Linked DNA regions of Canis lupus familiaris. The protein of the gene in region 1 interacts with the protein of each later gene in a pairwise test. Links are inferred from orthologs where the notes say so. Each region holds a gene or a part of one and is shown on either strand. Other genes may lie near its edges. The genes, in order: CDKN1B, CCNA1 and CCND2.

Region 1 (3,076 bases):
CTCCCCCAGAACAGCAGAGCCTCCTAGGTTCAGAGGGAGCTAACCACTGCTCCCCGCTAGCAGAGGCACCCAGGTCGGGGTGGGGGCGGGGGCGGGGGCGGGGGCGCGGCTCCCGGCCCCTCCGCGAGCGCCAAAGGCCGCCCAGCCTCCCCGCAGCGCCGGAGCCGGGGGGGGGGGGGGGGGGGGGGGAGAGCGCAGCGGGGGGGGGGCGGGCGGGGAGAGCGCAGCTGGGGGCGCAGAGCTCCCACGGCCAGCCTCCGCCCCCCGCGGCCCGCACCCCCGGCTCGGCGAGCGCGGGGAAGACGAGCTCGCCACCGGGCCACCTAGGAGGTCATCTGATCCTGCCCCCTCCGTCTCCCCGCGCGCGGAGCGGGCGCGCCAGGCAGCGCAGCGCGGGGACCTGAACCCGCGGCCCCGCCGCCCCCGCCCCCGCCCTCCCCGGCTTCCCGGCCGGTTGGCTAGTTTGTTTGTCTCGTTTTTAATTTCTCCGAGGCCAGCCGGAGCAGGTTTGCTGGCAGCCGCGCACCTCCGGAGTCACGCGACCAGCCAGGCTCCGGGCGGCGCAGTCGGAGGCGGGCGCGCGCCCGGGGAGGCGGGGCGGGGCGGGGCGGGGCGGGGCGGGGCGGGGCGAGCGGGAGGCGTCGCGGCCGCCGGGGCCACCTTAAGGCCGCGCTCGCCAGCCTCGGCGGGGCGGCTCCCGGCGCCGCAACCAATGGATCTCCTCCTCTGTTTAAATAGACTTGCGGTGTCAATCATTTTCTTCTTCGTCAGCCTCCCTTCCACCGCCATATTGGGCAACTAAAAAAAAGGGGGCTCGTCCTTTCGGGGTGTTTTTCTCCCCTTCCCCTGTCCCCACTGCCTCGCCGCTCCGCGACGCCGACGTCCGCAAGGTTTGGAGAGCCGCTCGGTTGGCGGGACCCGCGGGCTCGCGGCAGCCCGGGCTTGGACTGGCTCTGCCGCCCCTCCCCTCCCCTCCTCTGCCCTCCTCTGCTCGCCTCTGCTCGCCTCTGCTCTGCTCTCCTCTCCTCTCCCCTCCCCGCCCCGCCCTCCCGCTCGCCGGTCCGCTAGAGCGGCGGCGGCTCTCGGCTGCCGGGCCGGGGCTTCCCCTCACCCCTCACCCCTGCCCCTCCCGCCTCCCGCCTCCCCCGGGCCAGCGCGCCCCTGACGCTCGGGCAGTTACTTGCGCGTGTTTGTTTCTCTTGGCTCCGAGCGCGATCGCAGGGCTTTCTAGGGGGCGGTTCGGGCTGGGTCGGGGCGTTTTGTTTTGTTCAGTTTTGTTTTCCGAGAGAGGGAGAGAGCGCGCGCGCTCGCGGCGGTCGTGAAGACCGGGGAGGAGGATGTCAAACGTGCGAGTGTCTAACGGGAGCCCGAGCCTCGAGCGGATGGACGCCAGACAGGCCGAGTACCCCAAGCCCTCCGCCTGCAGGAACCTCTTCGGCCCGGTCAACCACGAAGAGTTGACCCGGGACTTGGAGAAGCACTGCAGAGACATGGAAGAGGCGAGCCAGCGCAAGTGGAATTTTGATTTCCAGAATCACAAGCCCCTGGAGGGCAAATACGAGTGGCAGGAGGTGGAGAAGGGCAGCTTGCCCGAGTTCTACTACAGACCCCCGCGGCCACCCAAAGGCGCCTGCAAGGTGCCGGCGCAGGAGAGCCAGGACGTCAGCGGGACCCGCCAGGCGGGGCCTTTACTGGGGTCTCAGGCCAACTCAGAGGACACACACTTGGTAGACCAAAAGACTGATGCGCCCGACAGCCAGACGGGGCTAGCGGAGCAGTGCACTGGGATCAGGAAGCGACCCGCGACCGACGGTAACGACCCCTCCCCAAGCAGAGAAGGTCTGGGTGCCCAGGACCCTAACCGCAGCTTGCTTTTCCAGAGTATTCCGATGTAGTGGAGGTGGGTGGGGGGAGCGAACTGCCCTCCTCTTGGGTTTTAAATGCTTGTCCGCCTGGCTGCCTGGCTGCTTATGATTTTTAAGTCAGGAGCCTGTTTTTAAGTCAGTGAGATGCTGTTATCTGATCATTGCTCCAACCGAAAACATCGCAGTTCCTCCCGGCTGGCCAGCGCTGGGTCTGTGACTACGTTGGGATGTTTATCAACGGCCTCCCTCTTTGCAGTGGGGAGAGAGAGAGAGAGAGAGAGAGACAGCGAGACAGCTCTAGGGGCATAGAATACACTTTCTGTTATGTGAAAACAACCTCATTCTGTGCCCTTAAAGGCCACCGGGAATGACGGATCCAGGATGGTGGGTGGAGGTGTGGGTTTTTCATCCCCTGACTATTGTGCCAACTTGTGTCAGCCATTGTTTTTCTAATAAAGATTGTGTGTGTTCTTTTTAAAATTCCCTCCTGCCCTTAGATTCCTCTCCTCAAAACAAAAGAGCCAACAGAACAGAAGAAAACGTCTCAGACGGTTCCCCGAACGCGGGTTCAGTGGAGCAGACGCCCAAGAAGCCGGGCCTCAGAAGACGTCAAACGTAAACTGCTCGGTGGGTTGATGACTAGGAGCAAGAAACTGACACTCCGAAATGGGCTTTCACACCCCGAGATACCCAATCTTGGTGGTTGCTGGCAGAATGGAGCTTGTGGGTTTTTGTTTCTATTTTGTGAGGTGGAAAAGTAGGAATGGGGAAGGCTGGGAATCGCTGGTGGGGATCCTGTAATTTTTTTCACACTGTCTACGTCCTGAGGTCATTTTTCCTTGAAAACACGGAATAACCAGAGCAAGTGTCCTAGCCAAAGTACTTGTGACCGAGGCTGGATGATGAGTGGGAAGGTCAATTCCCTGTGAATCCCACCAAAACCGTTGGGAACAATAGGTTCTTTCCCCCCATCTGAGCAAGAACTGGGATATGCTTCAGTCCCACTTCATAAGAATTCTTTTCCCAGAGGTTTCAAGTTGAGTCAGTAACAGATTTTGAGCCATACATGGGAAGAAGGCAAATAAATGATAAAAGTTAAAATTTGAGGGAAAGGGTGCAGATGGCTCATATTTGGTTGATCCTATGGTTAGTAGTGTGAATAGTGAGGTACGTCACATGATCTTTATCATTTTCTTAAATTGTCACTTTCC
Region 2 (3,521 bases), on another chromosome or scaffold:
GGGGTTAGCTTCATTAAAATCTGAAGTCCCATCCTGTGGTGAAATTTGCTTTTTCTACCTCTCTGAGCATCTTCTAAGGCTGAAATATATGCTTGATGGGTGACTAAGTGAAAACTGAACATTGACATCATGGTATCTACAAAATGAGCATCACATCCCTGGATTAAAATTACATGTCGGTCACCGCTCAGGGGTACCTGATCACATCTAGTCTTCAACTCACTTCCTTTATTCCCTAGGGTCCTGAAGGGAAACTAGAAGAGATTGTACTTGTTTATATCCCTTCACTAATGAGTCTAAGCTTGGAGTTCCCTCCTTCGCCAATTTATGGAGAGCTGTGTAAAAAGTAAACCAATGGGAAGAAAAAAGTCTCAGGGGAGCCACTGACACCAAACATGAAAATCTCTGAATTCCTCAAAACACTTAATCCCAATGGCATACCAGATTTATGAAACCAGTTTAGGAGAATTCTTGAAACAGAGACGACATTTATAATGCTCCCCACTACAATTCCAGGCAAGCATATGGGCCATCCTAATTAGTAAACAAGTCTAACATGTGGTCACAAGGCAAGTTGTTTATTCTTTAAAAAATGTTAGATGATATTACAAACTACTAAAATCTAAGGGAACTTGACTACATTTACATTTTAAAAAATATGTCATCTATATTGTAGCAACACTAGTTGACCCAACCTGCAGAAACCTATAAAAGTTAAGATGAATTCTGTTGATATGGAGGTTAAGTTCTGGAACTACTTCAGCAAGAGACTTATTGTAGAGGGAGAACTGCAGGTGGTTCCATGAGAGACACGTGCATGTACCTGCAATGAGACCCAAACAAAGGACTTCGGTTTTATAAAATCTCAGGCCACAGAGAACTTTCCAGTAGTTTAAACAGAAAGGAAGAACGCTTTCTGACTCTATGTATTCCAAGCTGACATATTATAAATCTAGGCCTCTCTAAACCGATTTTCCTGATTTAACATGCGAGCCTAGCACTGAGATTTCCAATTTGTTCTATTTTTAATGCTGACATTACTATAACCTATTAAAGCCTTAAATTAGTAAGCTCAGAGAAGAAAATTTCAGAAACTTACTTTGAAGCCTTATACTTCTCCCTAATTGCTTGCTGAGGTCGATGGGGTATATCAAGGCATGCTTTATGTAACTCACTCAGGCAAGGCACAATTTCATTTAATGAATAGCCTGTAAATGCAGCAAGAGTTTCTGGCTAATCAAGACAAAAAGAAAAAAACTGCATCATATAACTTTATATCAGAAAGCTGAAGACAAATCTGAAATCAAGGAAGTTAATTACTTAGGAAGTATCCACATTCATTTCAAGAGAAACTGTAATCCTCCTTCAGTGACTTTAGAAATGAAATATTAGGAAGAACAGCCAGAGTTCTCAATTTGTTCATACTGTGTATTTATAATGCTCAATTTGGGGGTAGGTTACTTTTATGTATTCTGTCATGAGCAGGATTTTTACTGGTCCCTAAAGAGCCTCTTCTTATCTAAACACCCTATTTACATCTTACATATGAAAGATTCTTAGTGGATGCAGAATATATAATAATAAATAAGAATTCTAGAATATAAAAGTAGATACTCTACTTCTTTTAGCATAAAAGTGAGCCTTCAGAACCCAATCGAAGGGTCCGTTTCTAAACTCGCCTCTTTTTGGACCAAGAGGCAGCACTAATTGCTCCCTTTCCTCGAAAACTTGATGCAAATTTCTGACCATCCTAAACGGATCCAGATTGTTTTACACACATAGAACAAAAGTCAACAAATTTTGCCTGAAGTGCTCAATGCTTGCACCACAAGGACATTCCTGGCATAAGGTGGGCATTGAGGTTTCCAGGCCTGCTTCTTTTGAATAAGCATGCAAACACCATCTCCTTGCCTTCCTGCAATCTCTACCCCAAGGCCACTGAGTCAAAGCCATAAAAGCTGACCTGCAACACTCAGTGACATGTTGTCATCTGCTGGCAAGACAACCAGTTCCTTATTAAACTAACTTTCCCTCATGAGAGGCCAGTCCATACTAAGCCTTGAGAGTTACTGGACAGATTCTTAGATAGGCTTTGCATTTCGTGTAGAGAACTCATTGGAATCTTACCCAGAAGTGCCTGTTCACAGTATAGTTCGCCAGGCAATAAGCTGCTGCAGCTCTCAGTGAAGGGAGATATTTCAAGAATGGGTCAGCTTCCAACAGACTCAGTTCTGCTACATACTAAGCACAAGAGAGAAAATCCCAGTGGAATTAGAATCTGACTAAGGTTACAAGTAAACCTAGAAATGTGAAGGGAAAAAATTGTCTTATCTTTGTCCATCCTGTATCTAGTGATGTGTGGACAGAAACGGATGCTCAAAATATTCACTGGGTTAATAATTGCTATGCCTATCCATAACCAGAATAGCACTGGTGTTGTAGTACAGGCCAATATACAAGGATTTGGCCCACCTACACAGTATATATGATAGGTTACTTTTCTTGTCTTCTACTAGTGGGTACAGGTGTATACCAGTCACATAAAGTAGCAAAATACGACCGTATGAAGCTACGGATTTGTCAGGCAAATGCATGTAGTTCAGAGGCTAGAACAGTCCCTGCGAGATTAGAAGAAACATACTGGGAAATTTATACATAGATCCTCATTACTCTTTGCATAGCATATACATTCCAGATATGCTAGGATCACAGTGACTGGAAACCAAGTCTTCCAAACTAATACTTCAGTGCCTTCAACTAAAGTACACTAACCCCAGATGACCAAATAATGCTTTATTACTTCATAGTTAGGGTAAGATGAGAGCCAAATCAAACTGCATTTACTTTATTTCCATTCTGTTAACTAAGAAGAGGTATTTGCCTACATGTAGTCTGTATTTGACAAGGGAACGGTTTCCAAACTTAAACTTCTTTTAAGAGTTGGGTGATCAGATAACCCATGCCTACCAAACGTGATGGACAGTGATGTCTCATAACCAGAAATCATGATCCTAAAATTAGCTCTCTTCCATTGCTAAAAAAGTTTTTCTGGACCCAGGACAAAGAACTGATAAGGAAGGAAGAACTGACGGATGATGGGGAAAGGCTAATTTTATTCTCCTTGGTTCCCAAGTTCCTGGAAGTCAGGTAGCATACCTTGGCCAGATTCTCAGTTCTGATGCACACTCCTTGTCTCCTTAAGTACTGAAGGAGAAACTGGTTGGTGGTTGGCACTGTCAGATCAAAAGCTAGGACTTTCAGGAGCAGGTGTTCCATTCTTAACAGTTGTCGTTTCGTGTAAGTGTCATCAGTTATATAGACAAACTCATCTACTTCAGGTGGATATATTTCTTCATATTTCCTATGAAAGGTAAAGAGTTTTTCGGAAGTAAATCTTGGAAGCTGTGGAGCTCCTTCCTCTGCTATCACAACCATGCCTTTTGCATGGCCCTTGAAGACTTCTTTCCTCTGTATCCACATATCCACTTAAATATTACTAAATGGTACCGACCTTGAAAATA
Region 3 (3,650 bases), about 7.1 Mb from region 1:
TTTAATTAAATTCAAATTTTCATCCACTGAATTCTAAGAAAATAGTTCGACTTCTCACATGGTAGGAATGTGCCCACATGATAGGAGTGTGTTGTCCTGTGTGTCCTAAGAATCTACAGTTCAAAGGTAACATCAATGGATAAACTCTCAAGATACCTGTACATAGTAGCTGTTAACTAAATATCAGCTCATTGACTTTGGAGCCGAGTCAAAATTTGGCCTTTTTATTGGAGGAATCTGAAGCCTGGGTTCCTAGCTCCAGCGGGGCTGTGACCTCTTTGCCATGACAAGGGTCCTGTCTTGACTGGTTTTCTGGCAACAAACCTTTTTCCCACCCGGTCTTAACTCTTTTTCCCTGCAGCTTCGCACTTAAAGGCGTGTCCGTGTTACGGCAGTGTGGTTTGGGAGAGTGGCACCCAGGCCCACCAGGAGTGGTGTGCGCACCTTTCTCTGCGCTCTTTGGAAAGGGGCCCCCCTCTAGCTGCCCCTCCCCCTCCGGACTGGCAAGGCCTGCCCGAAGTGAAGTCCGTAGGGCCAGGGCTGGCTGCTAGAACGGAGCTCTTTGTGAGAGGCCTTCCTTTCTGGGGCTGGGCTGCCATCTAGTGGCAGACATGTGCAAGGTTGGGGGAGGAATTGCAGGGAATGCAGAGGGGCCTGAATGACTTCACCTTTGAACCGCTGCCAGATTTCAGCTGCTTCTGGTTTGGTCCGGGAGGCCCAGAAAGGTGCTTTCTTCTGGGAGATCTGCTTCCTTTAATAATAGTACAAGACGAGTGGTTTACACTCGTATTCCCCTGCGAGAAGAAAGGGCTGGAATTTCAAGCCATCTTAGAAGACACTGGTGGTTTAGTAATTTTATCTTTTTTTTTTTTTTCCCTCCACCCCAACGTCCTGTAAAAAGCTAAAGCCAACATTATAAAGCATGTAAAGGAAAGTTTGTTAGAATTCGTTGCCAGTTTGCTTTTCCTCATGGGAGACCAGGAGAATGAGTCTTCCATGTGGTTCATTTGTTTCAGTGTGATGGTGGGCCATGGTGTTCTTCAGGACACCCCAGTTTTTCCGGGACCAGCCAAGCTAACTAATACTGTTCCTCCAAAACGCTGCCTTCCATCCCCCCACCCCCCACCCCGCCCATTCCCCATCTATTTATCCCCAAAGCTGGGATCTGGAGGAGTCCTCATATATGCCCAGTGAGGGGAAAGGAGGCACCCCAAATCACACAGCCACTTAGTGCTGCAAGAGGGGGGCTGGGGCTCTGGTTGCTGGCTTAGCAAATGGGAGATAGCCTGGGGACTCTTAGGGCAAATGGGGGAGCAGGGTGCACAGGCAGGCAGGTCTCCTCCTCTCATTCTTATGAAGGCATGAATGGATAGGCCCATTTTCCCTCTGATTGCACATATTTTTAGGGTTTCCTTTTTGGCTTGGTTTACCTTGAGCACAGTTCTCCAAATGCATCCCAGTAAGGGAGAAAAGAGGTTTCTCACAAGGTGGGCTGGTGATGAGAAGCCCTTGAGAGATGGGAGTTGCACTGGCCACCCTCAGTTTTGAACGGAGGGATTCCGTGACCTAGTACAAGCACTTTCACTTTGCCCCATCACCTCTAGCTGCAACATGGGGTTGCTAGTGACCCTCTGGTGGGTCCTTTAGTCATGATGACAAAGGCCTATGAAGCTTTTAGGTGAAAGGGCACTCTGGCTGCGTGTCCTTTTCCCAAGACTTCTGCATTATTTGTGGAGGGGAAAGTTTTAAAGCAGAGAGAAGTGGCGCTTTCTGGCACCAGCTACAAGTAAGCTAATTGGTTGCCAAGGAGTTGGGCCCAGGAACCTTATTTTGAGCTTTATCTGTGTGCATCATTTTTGCCCCGAGGATTAAAAAGACTATTAATCCAGCGGTAGAGACACAGACAATAAATTACTACCTAAGGGCCACAATGACCTTGGCAGTATCTTATTGTAGGTTCAGCCTTCCGGGTGGGCAGGCAACAGTACTGTTTGGAGGTTGGGATTGGCTGGGAGCGGGGAGCCAGACAGGAAAAGAAATGGCAGAAAGTAGAATCTTGGCAACAGCCACCTGGGCTCTCATTATTGCCCAGCGAGCCTGACACTGGAAGCCTAAGAAGAGATGTCAACAACTTCCAAGCTTTGGGGGTGGGGGAGGTACTGGGACAAATGGGCCCACCTCACCATCCCACAGCGTCCAAATGAGTGTCTTTAAAACTGGTCCGGATCCCCAATCCCAGTCCTGGGACAACAGCAGGTCAGCCTCTGGGTTTTATACTTTTCTCTTCCTCCCTCCCTCATCAGGAGTGGGAGCTGGTGGTGTTGGGGAAATTGAAGTGGAACCTGGCTGCCGTAACCCCTCATGACTTCATCGAGCACATCCTTCGGAAGCTGCCGCAGCCGAGTGAGAAATTGTCTCTGATCCGCAAGCACGCGCAGACCTTCATTGCTCTGTGTGCCACCGGTAGGAGCAGGCCACAGTGGGGGGTGGGGGGCTTGGGGGGGTCCGGGGTCCTGGGGGAGTGGAAGCAGGTGCACACCCAGGCTGAAGAGTCCTTTTGGAGGGGGTGGTCAAGGGGAGCCAGCCTGGCGTACTACCTGGCATGGGCTTAAGAGGTTTAGGAGATAGGTGGTCCCACTAACCTAGACTACCAGGTTTCATGCCTGGGCTGTTTTATTTACTTTATCTCAGCCTGGTACATTCTTTTTCTCTGCTCAACTTATAAATGGTTTATGAGGGCGGGTGTGGTAAGGGAAAAAAAATAATGCCTGTTAAAATATTCTTTATGATGTCTAAAGTGCTCTTTGAAGATTATATATACTGCTCTCTGGTTGTGTTTAAATCTTTAATCTTTTGAGGAAAAGGATGGTTTGGAGATAAGCCCAAGAGGAACTTTGGGGGGTGGGGGCAAATATAGGTTAAAAGAACACTGTCAAGATAAATTCGCTCCCTGCCCTGATAAGCAGTAAAGGGAAGGCCGGAGGAGTTCTTTCTACTGTGGGGCACATACATGTAGCTGTTGCCTCTGCTGGATGGGGGAGTAAACCTGGCTGGCTCTCAGCAAGGACTCACGTTCTGAGCACTGAGTTTTGATGCACTCCTTCAAGTGCTGGTGTTTTGATTTTGGTTGCAACCTTTCACACAATAGTCACAACTGGCTTTTTCTTATGAAGAACTTTCCACCCACCATGTTGGTCCTACAATTGATACATAGTTCTCACTGGCCCATATGCTTTGCATTTCTCTAATAAACTAAAGGCAGAGGGTTGACAGGTCTCCTTAAACTGAACCTGGGCCAGTTTCTACCTTTTTTTTTTTTTTTTTTTTTTTTTTTTGGTAGTGGCCATGGGAGAGACCCTGGAGCCTTAATCATAGAGACGTCATAGAACCGACCATCTGGGCAGATCATTTGTTTGGGGATGGGGGGTGGGGGGGAGGAGTGGGGAGGGGTGGGGTGCAGAGGGTTCAGCCCAAGTTTGCCAAGAGTTGTTGAATTTTATAGTTGGGACTCTGGGGCTAACTTTTTTCCAATACCTTGTTACATGTTACTTGTGAGTAAATACAGATGGATCACACAGTAGGCAAGAGTATATACGCTCTGTTTTCGGTCAAAAGGTCAGACTTTGCTACTTCTCACTGGATGACTTTGG

Evidence for each region.
Region 2: the proteins of CDKN1B (region 1) and CCNA1 interact in binary tests that used the Homo sapiens proteins (3 or more experiments, as listed by UniProt). The link is inferred for Canis lupus familiaris from reciprocal best matches to the Homo sapiens genes CDKN1B and CCNA1.
Region 3: the proteins of CDKN1B (region 1) and CCND2 interact in binary tests that used the Homo sapiens proteins (3 or more experiments, as listed by UniProt). The two-hybrid records come from large-scale screens. The link is inferred for Canis lupus familiaris from reciprocal best matches to the Homo sapiens genes CDKN1B and CCND2.

What each region holds. Positions count from the first base shown.
Region 1 is NC_049248.1:12,565,052-12,568,127, forward strand, and holds CDKN1B (cyclin-dependent kinase inhibitor 1B), read left to right. Parts: upstream 1-1,337; coding exon 1,338-1,812; intron 1,813-2,362; coding exon 2,363-2,484; downstream 2,485-3,076. UniProt on the Homo sapiens protein: Important regulator of cell cycle progression. Inhibits the kinase activity of CDK2 bound to cyclin A, but has little inhibitory activity on CDK2 bound to SPDYA. Involved in G1 arrest. Potent inhibitor of cyclin E- and cyclin A-CDK2 complexes.
Region 2 is NC_049246.1:4,254,814-4,258,334, forward strand, and holds the end of CCNA1 (cyclin-A1), read right to left. Parts: intron 3,362-3,521; coding exon 3,157-3,361; intron 2,242-3,156; coding exon 2,128-2,241; intron 1,234-2,127; coding exon 1,100-1,233; intron 824-1,099; coding exon 772-823; coding exon of another isoform or gene 755-771; 3' UTR 558-754; downstream 1-557. UniProt on the Homo sapiens protein: May be involved in the control of the cell cycle at the G1/S (start) and G2/M (mitosis) transitions. May primarily function in the control of the germline meiotic cell cycle and additionally in the control of mitotic cell cycle in some somatic cells.
Region 3 is NC_049248.1:5,502,520-5,506,169, forward strand, and holds part of CCND2 (G1/S-specific cyclin-D2), read left to right. Parts: intron 1-2,303; coding exon 2,304-2,463; intron 2,464-3,650. UniProt on the Homo sapiens protein: Regulatory component of the cyclin D2-CDK4 (DC) complex that phosphorylates and inhibits members of the retinoblastoma (RB) protein family including RB1 and regulates the cell-cycle during G(1)/S transition.